Linked DNA regions of Notamacropus eugenii. The protein of the gene in region 2 interacts with the protein of the main gene of each other region in a pairwise test. Links are inferred from orthologs where the notes say so. Each region holds a gene or a part of one and is shown on either strand. Other genes may lie near its edges.

Region 1 (7,500 bases), on a different chromosome or scaffold from region 2:
AAAAACTGGCAATATTGAATGCCCCTAAATTTTTTTCAATTAATTAATTTTTAGTTTTCAACATGCACTTCCATAAGTTTTTTAATTTTCTCCCCCTCCCTCCCCAAGATGGCATGCAATCTGATATGGGCTCTACACATACATTCCTATTCAACACATTTTCACATTAGTCATGTTGCATAGAAGAATTATAACAAATAGGAGAAACCATGAGAAAGAAAACAAAACAAAACAGACAATAGTCTGCTTCACTCTGCATTCCAACTCCATAGTTCTTTGTCTGTATGTGGATGGCATTTTCCATCATGAGTTCTTTGGAATTATTTTAGGTCCTTTGCCCCTAAATTAATAAAGTAGCAGGGAAGTTCCAGGAAGAAGACAATAAGTAGATTGAAGTTCATAACTATTTGAAACATTTATTAAATTTCTTTGACTTTTCTGTGTGGTTTTAAACTGCCACCATATGACAAACATTCAAAATAAGTCCTTTCAGGTATCATCCTATGACTGAACCATCAATTGCCTTGCTCCTCCAGGGTTTTTCTTTACTTCTCTATGAGGAGTTAATAGAGGTAAACCCCAGTTTATACAGCAGACTTTTGGGTTCAGTTATCATATACTGACAATGAGCCCCTCTTTGCCCCTCAAATTTCTGTCTCTTACTTTGTCATTGTTTATTTTAGTGTTCTATAAAATATGTTATCAGATCGATGGACACCGGAAGAATTTATGACCAAACATTACAAGACATAAAATGGATGATTTTTATTATATTAAATTTCAAAAGTTTTGTGCAAAGAAAACCAATACAGCCAAGATTAGAAGGAATCTCTCACAAGCTGGTTACAGCTGGCTCTAGAACAGACCTCCACAACTTGGCAAGTAGGTAGGGGCCAAAATTAAAATAGGCTAAATTTCTTTGGGCCACAGATAGGTTAGACTAGAGACAGAGTGATGATGGCTATTTACCATGGGTCACATAACAAACAGGAGAGTACACATGGCAACCCTACATTTTTTGCAGGCTGACCAAAATTCTTTAGTGGACTGTAAGTGGCCCACAGACTGTATGTTGTGCAGGCCTGCTCTAGTACATCCACTTGTACATCTAGCACAAGTGGTCAAAGGGTAGGAACAGGCAGTTTTCAGACAAAGAAATCAAAGCTATGTATAGTCATATGAAAAAATATTCTGAATAACTATTGATTAGAGAAATAATAATTAAAGCAACTCTGAGATACCATCTCACACCTATCAGATTGGCTAATATGACAGAAAAGGAAAATGATAAATTTGAGGGGAGATGCGGGAAAACTGAAACACTAATCCTTGCTGGTGAAATTGTGGACTCATTCAACCATTCAATTTGGAACTATGCTCAAATGGCTATAAATCTATGTATATCCTTTGACCCTGCAATACCACTACTGGTCTGTATCCCAAAGAGATCAAAACAAAAAGAAAAAGTGCCCATTCATACAAAAAAAATTTATAGCAGCTCTTTTTGCAGTGGCAAGGAATTGAAAATTGAGGGGATGCCTATCAATGGAGAATGACTGAATAAATTGTGGTATATGATTATAATGGAATTCTATTGTGCTATAAGAAATGATAAAAAAGGATGCTTTCAGAAAAACTGGAAAGACTTACATGAACTGATGCAAAGTGAAGTGAATAGAACTAGGAGAATATTCTACACAGTAGCAGTAATATTATGATGATCAACTGTGAATGACCTAGGTATTCTTAGAAATACAATGATCCAAGACAATTTCAAAGGACTCATGGTGAAAAATGCTATCCACCTTCCAGAGAAAAAACTGATGGAGTCTGAATACAGATTGAAGTATTCTATTTTTCACTTTGTTTTTTTTCATGTTTTTTGGAGGGAGGGTTTGTGTCTTCTTTCACAACATGACCAATGTGGAAATATGTTTTGCCTGATTGCAACCTATTTTAACCTATTTTAAATTGCTTGCCATCTCAGAGAGAGGAGAGATGGAGGAAGAAAGGAGAGAATTTGGAATTCAAAATTTTAAAGAAACAAATATTAAAAATTGTTTTTACATGTAATTGAAAATATCAAAATGTATTAGTGGCCACTAATTTTATTTTGTTTTGATATTATTTGTAGTAACAGAGGTTTGAGAGGGCTAATTCTCTACAAGACTAGGAGATGCCTGTAGGCATCCCTCCTTCCCCATCCCCACCTCCCAGAAGAAAGTGTGGCTGAGCAATGGTCACTTCCCACAAACTCTAAATCCAGTTGATATGACAGCTTTCTAAGACAATCCAAGATGAATAAAAAACAGAGAGATCTATATTATCTGAAGTCATAAATTCCTTTACAAAGGACAAAGGATTCACCATAAGGAAGGAACTGCTCCCCTAAAATCTTTCCATGTCGGTAATCCCTACCATATACATAATGGCTTTATCTAGGATAATTTTGAATCCCTTCACATTTGCAGGGACCCATTGGAGATACTCTCCACCCAGGACTAGATACCCTGAAATTTCACTAAGGATGATTTGGTATTTCATTTGAGAGTAATAAGAAGAATGGCATTTATATCATACCATAGGGTTTACAAAGTACTTTATAAATTTTATCTCATTTTATCCTCACAGCAGACTTGGGAGGTAGGTGCTATTTTACAGGCATGCAGAGATCAAGGAACTCGCACAGGGTCACAACTTCTACTGTCTGAGACTAGATTTGAACTCAGTTTTCCTTGATTCTAAGTCCAACATGCTGTCCACGGTACCATGTAGTTCCCCAGTAAGATGAATGAAAAACCCAAAAGCCAGTGTTTCTGGGTAATTAATAATCAATGTATTAATTAGGCTAGCTGCTAATAAATCGATGGTCCGCGGTAACCAAAGATGGAGATATTCAATGCCTTAATATACTTTTAGAGAAGTGGGTACCCTTGACAGGTAAAAGTCAAACCTGATTGGTGAATAACTAATAAGGGGGTGGGGTTTTCAAATGAGGAGGTGGGGCAAAAGCCTTCAGCTCCTCTTGCTGAGAAAGAGGTTTGATCTCGAGACTCCGCTGCCTCCAGCCATCTGACAAAGGAAACCATCTCTATCTACCCAGACGTCTCAGGTTGGTTTTCACTTTCATGACCTGGATTACGCCAGACTTCAATGGAGAGGTACACGACCTGGGGCTTAATGCCTGGAGGCTGGAATTCACCTCCCTTAGATTCTGTTTACATTTTAAACAGAAATAAAGTCTCCTAGTTGGGTGGGTTCCCTCCCAAGAACAAAGCTTACTTTACTAGAGAATTATGCCCTTCTGAGACTGACTTGGAGGGGCTGTTCTCTGAATGAGAAAATAGAAAAAGCCTTCATCCTAATTTAATAATTGGTTATCAATATAATAGAAAATAATAATTTCTCTCCCTGGTTGTTAAGGCCCTGAAGGGAAAGGCCCACATGCTCTACCTAGTAAATTCCGTATTGACCAGGTTGACATCTAAGATAAGATATTTTTTCCTTTTTGTTTTCTTTATTGCCTTCGCATTGGGCAAGGCCATGGTGAGTACCAAGACCAGACTTGGGGGTTGGGTTTTTAACAAGCAGAACCTCTACAAACATTGGTTCATGTTTATTGGATCTGCGTAACTCCATGTTTGGGGACGACTGTCATTTCTACCTGCGTGTGTAGGAATGTAAAAAATCTTTGTCATTGACTGTCTTACAAAGATGTTTTCGTGTATGGGACTAGAGAAGTAAGCCAAGCTTATGCCGGGGTCGCAGTATGAACGATGAATTAAAAATGCATCTATGATGGGCTTAGAATGCTCCCCTCTAGGCGCTCAAAAATTATTTTTGTACACACGTATGTATGTGGTGAAAAGTTTACAGGCCTCAAAACTGTGGAAGCACCTAAAGAGGGGGCACCTTAAGGTTGGCTTCTTTTGCGTCCCCCACGCGACCCACCGTGCTGGGGCCAGGCTTTTAATACCTGACACACACACTTCTCGTTACTTTATAAGGAAACTGGGATGCTAGATTCCAACGAAGCCAAGGTGGGTTCCGCCAGCCCCGAGCGGGCCGGGAGGGTAGGGAGAAATCCCTCTACAAAGAGGCTCTTTTGGGGGGCTTGGTTTCCTGGCAACTCTCCCACCTCCGGGCCTTCCTTTTCCTTGCAGTGTACTTCCGCTTCCGCCTCCCTTCCTTTTGTCTCTCCCTTTCCCTCTTCCTCCTCCCATCCTCAGGGGCCGAGCCCCGAGGCCACGCCTGCCCCATGCTGCCGGGGGGTGGGGGTGGGGTCAGACGGGAGGGAAATCGGCGCGTAGAGGGGCACTCGCAGGGCGAGATAAGGGACTGAGGGTCGGTTTGGCGACTGAGGACGCGGCGCCCGGACGCCGAGGGGGGCCCCGCCCTGCGTCGGGGAGCGCGGCGTTGCCCTGGGTTGCCCGCCCACTCGTGACGCCATAGTTCAGTTTTCACTTTCTTTTTTTTCTCGCTCCCGGTCTGGAAGGTTTCACTTCCGGTTGCTCAGTGGCGCCCAAGCCAACCCTCCCAAAGGCGGTCGACATGTTTCCTTTGGCTAGGTAGAAGAAAGGGTTTGCCTTCTTCTTCCCTCTCCAGAACGAGGGATCCTCTAGAACCGTCTCCTGGCCACCCCCTCCCCCCACTCTTAGGGCCGACTTGGCATAGACTCCTTTTTGGAATCTTCAGTCCTCCGGACTGCGGGGATCGCTCGGCAGCCACGACTCAGCCCAGGTGCTGAAACTCCCCAGCTCCTCTGGCTTCTCGCCGCCCCACCCCCACCTTCCGCTCCGGGCGCCCTTGGACAGAGGACGCGAGGGGAGTAAGGGCCCGCGGGGTTAGTGCTGCTGGGGCCGGGCCCAGCGCCGAGGGGAGACGCGTGCGGGAAGCGAGGCCCATGAAGCCTTAGGAACAAAAGCGAAGACTCGGAGCAAACGGAGAGCCGCGTGGAGCTCCTGGTTTCTGTGGAGATGAAAGCCATCCTCTAGTGGAGAGAAAGCTCCTTCAGCCACGAGACCCGGCGTGCGCATGTTAGGAAGGAAGTAATGAAACCTAACAGCCCGAGAGAGGAAATGAACAATGACCTGGAGACTATGGGGACCTCGGCAGTGGCAGTAACAGCACCTGAGACAGGTGAGAACCCGAGCAGGTGTGGGTGCCGCTGAGTGCCCCGTATGTCAGGTGGAGGAGAGGTCCCAGGGTGCGAAGAGGCTGGACGGAGGAGAAACCTGCCTGCCGACGCCGGACGGGGGCTCTTCTCGTTGGTGGTTGGGGGGTTTTGTGGATTAAAGAGAACTCAGGACAGGTTTTGTGTTACCGTGTGCTGCCTAGGTTAACCTGCCCGGCCCTTTCAGAGGAGTGGCTTTGGTTTGGTTTCTTTGTGATTGGATTGTTACGGAGGGAAAACGTGGTTCCTTGAGAAGAGCAAAACAGATGGAAGGTTTGGGTATGGGCTCAAGTCCGGCCTTCTCGTGTGACCTTGGCCAAGTCCTGTAACCCCTTTGGGCCTCCGTTTTCTCATCTGTAAATTGAGTTCGGATTAAATGGCCTCTAAAGGCCCCTTCAACTTTAAGTCTTAGGATGAGCGTTGAACTTATGATTGTAAACCATTCTGAATCAGAGGCTGGTTTTGGTTTTTTTTTTTTGCTTTTCACAAGATACAGGATGAGACTTGGTCTTACACCTGTGTAACTTAATTATTTGGATTGTTTTCGAAGGTTGCAGAGGGAAAAAAGGTCAGTAGTAGTGTCAGATGACAAGATTAGGCAGGATGACAACATTTGCCCGTTATCTTACATATTCACTTTAACTCAGCCAACACACTAGGGAGCCAACGGAAAGCATCATGCATTATTCAATGTTAACCAACTTGATGACCTCACAACAGGTAGGTGCTGTTTTACAGTTGAGGTTACTCTCATTTTACAGATTTGGAAACTGATTCTTGGAGAGGTTAAATGACTATGCCTAGGGTAATTTATCTAGTAAGGGTTTGGATTCTGTATTTGAACTAGGGTCTTCCCAATTCCAGGCCCAGCACTAGGTGTGGCCCTGCTGCCTTTAAGCACCTGGCGGTGGGGCAAGGCGGTAGAAAAGTCAGATGAATACATCCTTGCTCTTGTGGAGGAGTGTGTGAGGTATAGCTTCCTTTTAATCATTTCATCTTAGTAAATGAGAGAGACTTTGATAATGAGCTTCCTCCAATTCAGGATGCTCTGCATCCTGTAAGTATTGCAAGATATACTTAGTGACCATTCCTATCATTAAACTTAAAAGGGAGTATGAATTTTGTTTTGGTTTTTGATCGTTTATGTAGAGCAAACATTTCCTTTTGGGATTGGCATTTCATAGTTTTTTATCTGGAGAGCCTGGAACAGAGCTTCGTTTTATTTCTTAAGCATAATTTTCTAAAGGAGGATTAGAAGGAAAAAGTTCTTTATCAGTAGAAATAACATGGATATTTCATAGATACATGAATATCTGAGTATATGAAATAATATGGATATTTCATAGATTTTCCACAATGACTACATTTTGCTAATTTAAAAAATAACTTAATTTGACTACCATTTTTTTGATATGTAGAAACACATTTTTTGTAAATTATATATGGTAAACTTACAGAGGCAGGTCATTCTTCTCCCTTCTCCCCATTCCTTCCTTCCTTCTTTCCAGTCCCCTCACTCTGCAGTGTCATCTTAGTATAGGCATACTTTACATATGGTTTGCTGAAATTATGACTTTAGGCCCACTTGGATTTGGGTTTAGGAGACCAGTTGACTCAGGTTTTTATTTGGCTATGTAATCCTGGTATAGTCACTTAGCTCTCCTAACCTCAGTTTCTTTATCTGTAAATGGGGATAGCAATACTTGTATTACCTCTGAGGGTTGTTATCAAGATTTTAAGATTTGCTATATTAATGTGAGTAGTAATAATTTATTATAATAATGCATTTATCAAATGAGATAACATGTACACTGCTTTGCAGACTTTAAAGTACAGTACAAATTGCTAGCTATTGTTATTAACTAAAATTAATGTTTTGATAATTTGCATTATGCATGTATTTGAGCCTGGTAAATTTTTGATGATTTTCAAATTAAGGGAAGTGGGTGTCAACAATAAAATCTCTAGTACCCATTATTCTTGACATTCTACGTATTGAACAAATGTTGTTCAAGCAAATATTGTCAGGTATTGGACACATACTCGACAGTTCACTTCATTAAGTCTTTTAATTAAAAATGCATTTTATTGATGCCTTTTGTCTTTACATCAGAGTTATTTCAACTCCCTTCTCCAGATTGAACTTTTCTCTTGTGAAAAAGAAAGAACAATTATGCAAAAAAGCATCCAATACTGTGACTACATCTGACAATCTGTACAATATACTGTTCTAGTAGTCCCCCACTTCTCTGCCAAGAGGGAAGAGGTATGTTTTGTTATCTGTTCTCTGGGACCATCATTGCTTTTTACTTTATTCAGAGTTTGAC
Region 2 (8,093 bases):
AGATAACATATTCCATAAACCCACTTAACCAGGCACATAAACTTCTATGCATAATATTGCTCTGAAAGCAAATAATGAGTGAGGGTTGTTACAGTGTTAATGTCTCTGCACTGAGGCGTTCTCTTTCCTCTGGATGACCCATGGCATATGGCCCACAATTGTCCAACATATGGGATTAATGAGGGCATCAGTTTCAATCTACACATTTCTTTTAGAAAAGCTTAATTTCTTTGTTTAAAAAAAGCAAAATAGAAACAACAGTTGTTTTCTTCCAGCACATTGGTGCCCAGTACTCTTTTGTACCCGAAGGGTGTGCACACTCCACTTTGGACACCAGTGCCCTAGGTGACCATGGGTTTCTAGTTCTGTGCGTTTAAAGTTTTGTTTCTTCCCTCAGGCTATATATAACTCCTTCCTGCTGCACCTGGGTCTCTTGCTTCCCTTTGACAGCCTAACTTCATGTACATTGTTTCAGCAAAAGCCTGATGTCAGCTTTACCTGGATATGGGTTCTATGACAGGTGTTCTCTTCACAGCAACTCAGACTTTTTTAATAGCTGTGTTCTGGATTATTCTATCTTCCTGATATTTTTCCAATCCTTTTATAGTGCAGTGGATTTGGTGTCTGACCCCTCCCCATTCCCCTTTCCTGTTCCCTTCTTTTTTCTCTTTGAGCTGGCTGCCCTTGTAGGTCAGGGGTTCCAGAGTGTTCACACTGCTACAACTCACTCTCTGAGGGTCTTTGTGGACACCCTACGGTACAGGAGCTAGATTTATACTACTTATAAAAGAGACTCAATCCCATGCTGATATACTTCCCACTTAACAAATCAGAGAAAATGAGCTCAATTTACTCAGAAACTTTTGCTAAACAGAAGGCAAAGTGAGGGCACATTCTAAGTTCAATATACATGTATCCGTAGAGGGAGGAGAGTAGACACAAACTTACAGAAAGACAGCAGGGAGGTACATCTCCTCCCTAGGAATGCCTGGGTCTGCAGCAATTTATAACTCTGAACTTAGGGCTTTTAATGCCCTTTATCAAAGGTAATCTGCACAAAAGTTTACTAATGACTAGACTATTTTCTCTTAAGATTTAAAGTTTTTGATGTAGTTATAGAAAAGATTTCCTCCAATAAAATAACAAGTGTGGCTTAAATATATGGATTCACTCTCCTAACTCCCACTCCAACAGGCAGGTTGGGTCCCCAGAAAGCAATGACTTCTTCTCCCTTCAGGACTGTATCAGTAACCCTGAGGGGTTGTGTCTTCTTATAGCACATATGGAAACCAGGCATCAGATTTCTGGTGTTCTTCCAACCACTTAAAGCTCCCTAGGTCATAATCTGTTCTGTTCTGCCTCTGACACTTACTCACCTAAGATAAGGAAATAGACAAAAAAAGACAAATCCCGCCCCCCAAAACCCCAATCCACTGTGCAATAAATTCATGGTCATGTGGTGGCTGGGTGGAGAGGTAGTGTACCTGTTCCTGTGCTACTTTTCCTTAAAGGCTCACAGCATTTCCTCCTTTTCACTGAATGCTGACAGGAAGAGAGAGTTTTGTTCATGAGTCTTTAAAAAAAAAAAAAACCCTGCATATGACCTGGGAAAAAGCACTATCCTCACACATTTCTAGAAACAGGCTCACCAAGTATCCAAGTGGATTGGCATCAGGAAGCATATATTGTACATGCTCAAAGAACTGGGGATTTGTTGGCTACTCCTCCCCCCGCCCCATGTTCGGGTGAAGAGGGGAAAACTCTCATGGGAAGTTTGGGCTCAGTAAAAGTTTTACAGCTTCTGGAAAGTCTTCCAGCGTGGTCTCTTCCTTTTCAACTCAGGGCCCAAGTTGGCCCATTTGGACCATTTGATGTGTGTGTGTGTGTGTGTGTGTGTGTGTGTGTGTGTGTGTGTGTGTGTGTGTTGTTGAAAAAATCTATAGGATGTTCATTCAGATGCATGTTGAAACTCTAGGCAATAGACATTTTCATCCGTTTGGTCTTCCCTATATGGATAGACAGATCAAATTCCTTTGAGTGATTAAAAATCTTTCAGGAGGCTCTGCAATGTTTTGGGGATTGATTAAATCAATAAAATAGCATCTGCAAATAGGAACTTGTGGAGGATTTTACCCTCCTCAGCTTGGACTCCGTGCTAGATCTCTATTACAACAACAAATATTTTTGGACAGCAAGCATCTCTGATGCCTCATCTGATGCCAATTTCCAAAGGGTCCCCAAACAGTAATTTCTGTTGTTACCTCTTCCAAGGGATCCTGAAAGATCTTGATGGATGGATGGGAAACATCTTGTAAAAAGAGCCTGTTTTACTGAACCAAGTACTTTTCATAATCAGCAATAATAATTATAGTTAGAATTTATATGGTGTTTTAAGGTTTGCAAAGTGCTTTACAAATGGATGTAGGTGCTATTATTACCCCCATTTTACAGACGAGGAAGCTGAGGCAGACAGATGTTAGATGGCTTGCCCAGGGTCACATAGTTCATATCTGATTTCAGTTATAGCAGCATGCACACTCACTCTGGAACCCCTGACCTACCAGTATGATGACAGGTTATATGAATGAGCCAGCCCAAAGAGAAAAAAGAAGGGAACAGAAAAGGGGAATGAGGAGGGGTCAGACACCAGGTCAGACACAGACTCCAGCTCCAGTGCTCTGTCTGCTGAGCCACCTCATTATCTCCAACAATGAGCACACTGGGATCTTATATTCTACATATTTCACTCCATTTTGATATTGTTGTCAATTGTGCACATTGTTGAATATTGCTATAGAAAGTCTGCTTATTCCCTATTAGTATCACCCTCAAGGACAACCTCAATTCATGCTACTGATCATCTTAAAATTTAATATATAGTTAGGAGGGAAGCTACATGAGTTAGTTAGTGGTCCCTGACATTTTCTCCATCAACATTTCTTTCTGCACTTTTGGTTAACTTTTCCTCCTGCAGATACTTTGTACATCAATCCCTTAATGTCTTCAGAATTGTATAATCTCCAGAACAGATTTCTATACATACTTGATCAAACCCTGCTGCTTTTCCTATGTTTTGTTTTCTTAGTGCTATTTCTACCTCAGGGACTATGATTTTAGGGTTGAAATACAGTGATTCCACTAGGTTTAGAGGTCTGTTGAAATGACTTTTTGGTAAATCATTTCTAGTTTTTTTTATTTCTAATCTTCTTTTCATTTGCATCCTTGAATGCTATCGGGATGACTTTGTTTAGTTGGCTATCTTGCCACGCTTTCTTTTAACTCCTTTGAGCCTCTCTTGCTTTTCACTGCTTTATGAGAAGGTATTCCTCATAATCATTTATAATTCTTCTTTATAACATTTTTATAGAGTTCATATTCTAGCCTGGTATTGTCTTTGGCAGATATTTCTCTGGCAAATCAAATGAGCATTCGATGAGCAAGGCATTTTTCTGGAGTCCTTCATTCTCTGTGTAGGAATTAATTTACATTGGTTTAACTTCTGGATGAAATTATGGCAATGTTGTCATTTTTTCCCCTGAAGAGCTTATAAGAACCTTTTCTAAGTTGTCTTGCCTTTTGAAATGTAGACACTTTCATTTTTTTACTGTTATTTGGTGCTCATCATATCCTGCACCCACCAATTTTGAGGCAAGAGTTCATCGCAGAGTCTTTGGGCTGGGTCATCTCTAGTTGTCTGAATTGTTATCCGGTCACTGCACCCAGATGGCTCTGGAGAAGAAAGTGAGGCTGGTGACTTTTCTCAGCACTCTCTCACTCAAATCAAAGTAAACTTCAAGTCATGTTATCATCTACCTGATGTCATGGTGCTTTTGGAGAATGAAAGACAAACCACAATTCTCTGGATTTCCTCAATTCTTTCTTTAAAACCATACTTGACCCTATATATCTCACCTTGTCCTGTCTTTGAATTAAAATCAACATTCACTCTGCTACTTGATTAATGTAAAGCTGGAAAAAAGGTGAGAAAGGAGAGATGTACATGGCCCACTGTGGTTCAGAAGAAAGAACTGAAAAAGTCCAAAGACTTGTAGATTTGACAGAAGCCACAAGCTTCTGTATCATGAACTCTTCCTTCAGAATTGTTGTGTGCAGCATATGGAGAGCCCCATAAACATAGTAAAGAATGAAACTGTGCATTTCAGTAGGCAAGAAAGCTTATTATTAAAGTGGGAGCTATTCCTCAGTTAGCTGTCTGTGCACACACTGCTAACTCTTCACCGTCTGATCAGAATTTTTAATAAGCAAACAAAAAAAAATTAACGAGAGATACTGCCTAAGAGCGAAGTCAGCAGAACCAGGAGAACATCATATACAGTAACAGGAAGACTGCATGAGGAGCAGCCATGAAGTACTTAGCTGAGAATGGCAGTACAATGATCTAAGACAATTCCAAATTGTGAAAAATACTCTTCATCTCCAGGGAGAACTGATGAACCGAGTGCAGATTAAAGCAGACTTTTAAAATTTGTTTCTTGGTTTTTGTCGTTGTTAACTTTTTGCAACATGGCTAATATGCAAATGTTTTGTTTGATTTCATACTTAGGATCAGTACCATATTCTTTACCTTCTTAAAGTGATAGAAGGGAGAGAATTTGGAATTCAGTATTTTTTTAAAAAATGAATGCTGAAAATGTTTTAAAATGTAATTGGGAAGTAATTAACAAAAAAAAGTAGCAGTAGTTCACAAGATATAGTTTGAATTATTTTTAAAAATGGGACACATAACATAACTGCCACCGACGTCCCCCTCCCCCAGGTCCTCAGCTTCTCCCTCTGTCCAAGGGGCGGGCTGGACCCTACGACCTCACCGGGCTTCACACTTAGACTGTGAGGCTGGGGAGCAGAGAGGCGGCCCCTCCCCTCCGCGGGCTCCACCCCTAGGACCACGCCCACCGAGGCACCTCCACTACCATTGAGAACAAGCCCGCCCGCCTAGAGAGGCACGCGTGGGGGAGGGCCGAGGAGGACCCGGCGGCTTCCTCGCCATTTTAGGAGGAAACGCGAATCGTCAGCCCTTCCGTTTCAATAACTTTATTGAGCCCACAGGCCGGGCGCAACCACCTCTGCGCACGCGTGCGGCCGCCTTCCCGCCCCACCCCCTCCCGGGAGGAGGGCGCTCCGCTGCCCAGACGAATGGGGCTGCATCTTTGGTGGGGGGTGGCTGTCCCGGGGAACTCTCGGAGAGCAGTGGGAGGAAGGCAGGGGATCCCGGGCTCCTGCTCGCCGTCTTCCCCGAAGAAGGAGGGGGTGGTGCCCTGAGGAGGCCCAAGAACGAGCGGCGGAGGAGGACAAACCCATCCCCCCCCTGCTGGGGACCTCCGAGCCGCCATGGGCAATACCACGAGCGAGCGAGTGCCAGGGGAACGCCACGGCTCCAAGTCCCACCGCGCCGATGGCGCCGGTGGCCAGGCGCACGGCAAAGAGCACCCGCACAAGATTATGGTGGGCAGCACGGACGACCCGAGCGTCTTCAGCGTACCCGACTCCAAGGTGCGCGGCGCTCGCGGCGGAGGGCAGGGTTCCGACCCCGCTCAGCTCCCCTCCCCGGGCGGTGTGCCTGGGAGGCTGCTCAGTTTCTCTAGTCTGCTCAGTTTCTCTAGTCTGGTCAGTTTCTCTAGTCTGCTCAGTTTCTCTAGTCTGGTCAGTTTCTCTAGACTGGTAAGTTTCTAGTCTGGTCAGTTGCAGCAGAACGCCTGGGCGCGCTGCCCTCTCGCGGTGTGCTCGGCCTTGGTGTTTGCCAAGGCTTCTGTGGGAGCCGTTTTCTAGGGTCTGAAGAGTTATCCGTGGTGGAAAATGGACTGACCGGCTAGTGCAGCGGGGCAGATGAGGGAGGCTCAGCCGGCTCTCTTAAGCCAAGCGCGCAGGGACCATCCTGGAATCCCAAAGCAGGCCTTGGCCTCAAGGAGCATCCATTCTAGTGGAAGAGAACGTGCCCTCAGCTATGTATGGACAAGATATAAAAAGTGAAAGGGATGTCTTGCCGGGGGGGGGGGGGGGGGGGGGAAGGCTTTTTTGCAAAAGGTGGGTTTTGACCTGAATCTTAAAGGAAGCCAGGTGGTAGAAAAGACTATTGGACAGCCAGGTCAGAATAATGGGAGTATCTTGTTCGAGGAACAGCAAGGAGCCAGTGTCAGTAGATCAGAGAATGGGTGGAAGGGAGAGAAGTGTAAGAAGACTGGAAAGGTAGGGAGGACTAGGCTGTGGAGGGGTTTAAAAGCCAAACAGGAACACACATGTATTTGTGTGTGTGTGTATATGTGTGTGTGTGTGTGTGTGTGTGTATATACACACACACACATAATATATATTACACACATATACATACATATCCTGGAAGTAATAGGGAGTGTTAATTTTTTTTTTAATTGATCTACTTGTTGGATAGTCTTTTCTTTCAGTGAGAAGAAGAGTACTTTATTTACTAAGTAGAGGAGGGCTTTAGAAAGGTTGCTTTGGCTGCAGATTTAGGGGGAAATAGTAGGGAGAGCAGCCAGCACGTTGTTGAAATAGTCCAGGCATGAGTTGATGAGCCAGGTGGTGATTGTTGAAGGAGAGAAGGTCAAGTACAGGAGTGTTGATGCTAAGGTAGAAACAAGCAGGCTTAGCTCCAGATTGGATGGATGTGTGGGCTGAGTGGAAGTGAAGAGCTAAGTGATTTGGAAGCCTGGGTCACTGACAGGATTGCAAGGGAAAACTATGCATCAATTGGAACTGCCTGTCTAAATCAGGGATTCTTGTTTTTGTGTGTGTCATGAACCTCTTTGCCAAGCAAGTCTATGGATCTCTTGCCTGAATTAATATTTTTAAATAACTGAAGGAAATGCTGAATTTCAGGTAGAGGTTAGTGAAAAGTAAAATGTGATTCTGTTCTCCTCCCCTCATACAAGTTTGTTGATCTTCTGAAAACCAGAGGGTGGAGGAAAAGGGGCTAGGGTCTCCTAGAAGGCCAGATATAAAGGTTACTCTTGGGATCCTTCTACAGTGACTTACTTGACAAGTAGAAGCTCTGAGAGGAATGTTGACTTTTTTATTTGAAAAACACCTGAGGGTTTTACTGAACCACAAATTCAATATGAGAACAGTATTACATAGCCCAAAGAGGGGTGGGGAACATGTGGCCTTCTAGATCCTCAAGTGTAGAACTTTGACTAAACCCAAATTTCACAGAACAAATTCTTTTAATCATTTAATCCTTTAAAGAGATTTGTTTTGTGAAGCTTGGATTCAATCAAAGGTCTGCACTTGAGGATCTAGAGGGCCACATGTGGCCTTGAGGCCACAGGTTCCCCACCTCTGGCCTAGGAAAATAATTCACTCATAATTTGGGGCTGGAGTGGGGGATTGTACATGTTGTATTCAGTTCAAATTCACAGTTTAGGAAGGCCATTGAGGAGACACCGTGGTGTAGTGGAAAGGGCTTATGTAGTTACATTAGACCCGTGTAGACCTGGTTCAAATCCCATCTACTTAAGTATGACCCTGGACAAATAAATCACTTGGTTTCTCTGTGCCTTAATTTCCTTGTCTGTAAAATCTGGGAGTTGGACTTGATAACTCTAAGATCCCTCCTAGCCCTGAATCTTTGATCTTAGGAAGCTGGAGAATGTCCAAAAGGACTGTAGGCATGCCCTGAAGATGATGATTGGTTGAGGACCAGGAGGATGTTTCAGCCTGAAGAAGAGAAAACTTTAATGGAGATGTGATAGCTGCTTTCAGGTATTCTCATGGGCAGTCATGTGAAAAAGTGGATTAGATTAGTTCTTCTTGGCCCCAGGACAATAAACTGGGTATTGCGTGTGGCAATTATAGGGAAGGAGTTGACAAGTCATTGTAAAGAAAAACTATACAACCAGGAGAGCTGTCCATAAATGGATTCCTTGGCTGTAGGAGGAAATGGATTTTCCTTTAATAGATCCTCCAGCAGAGTGTAGATGACCACTTGTCTGCTCAAGTCAACAAGCATTGATTGCTTACTATGGGCCAAGCACTGTGCTAACCCAAAGAGGGTCAGGAGGACATCCTGGAGAGGAACGAAGGAACTATCTCAGATGTTTGTTGCTCAGGGCCTTCTT

The links. The genes of interacting proteins can lie anywhere in the genome.
Region 1: the proteins of PRKAB2 (region 2) and TASOR2 interact in binary tests that used the Homo sapiens proteins (3 or more experiments, as listed by UniProt). The link is inferred for Notamacropus eugenii from reciprocal best matches to the Homo sapiens genes PRKAB2 and TASOR2.

The regions. Positions count from the first base shown.
Region 1 is NC_092874.1:209,470,229-209,477,728, forward strand, and holds the start of TASOR2 (protein TASOR 2), read left to right. Parts: upstream 1-4,400; 5' UTR 4,401-5,051; coding exon 5,052-5,139; intron 5,140-7,500.
Region 2 is NC_092873.1:301,712,121-301,720,213, forward strand, and holds the start of PRKAB2 (5'-AMP-activated protein kinase subunit beta-2), read left to right. Parts: upstream 1-4,990; 5' UTR 4,991-5,349; coding exon 5,350-5,511; intron 5,512-8,093. UniProt on the Homo sapiens protein: Non-catalytic subunit of AMP-activated protein kinase (AMPK), an energy sensor protein kinase that plays a key role in regulating cellular energy metabolism.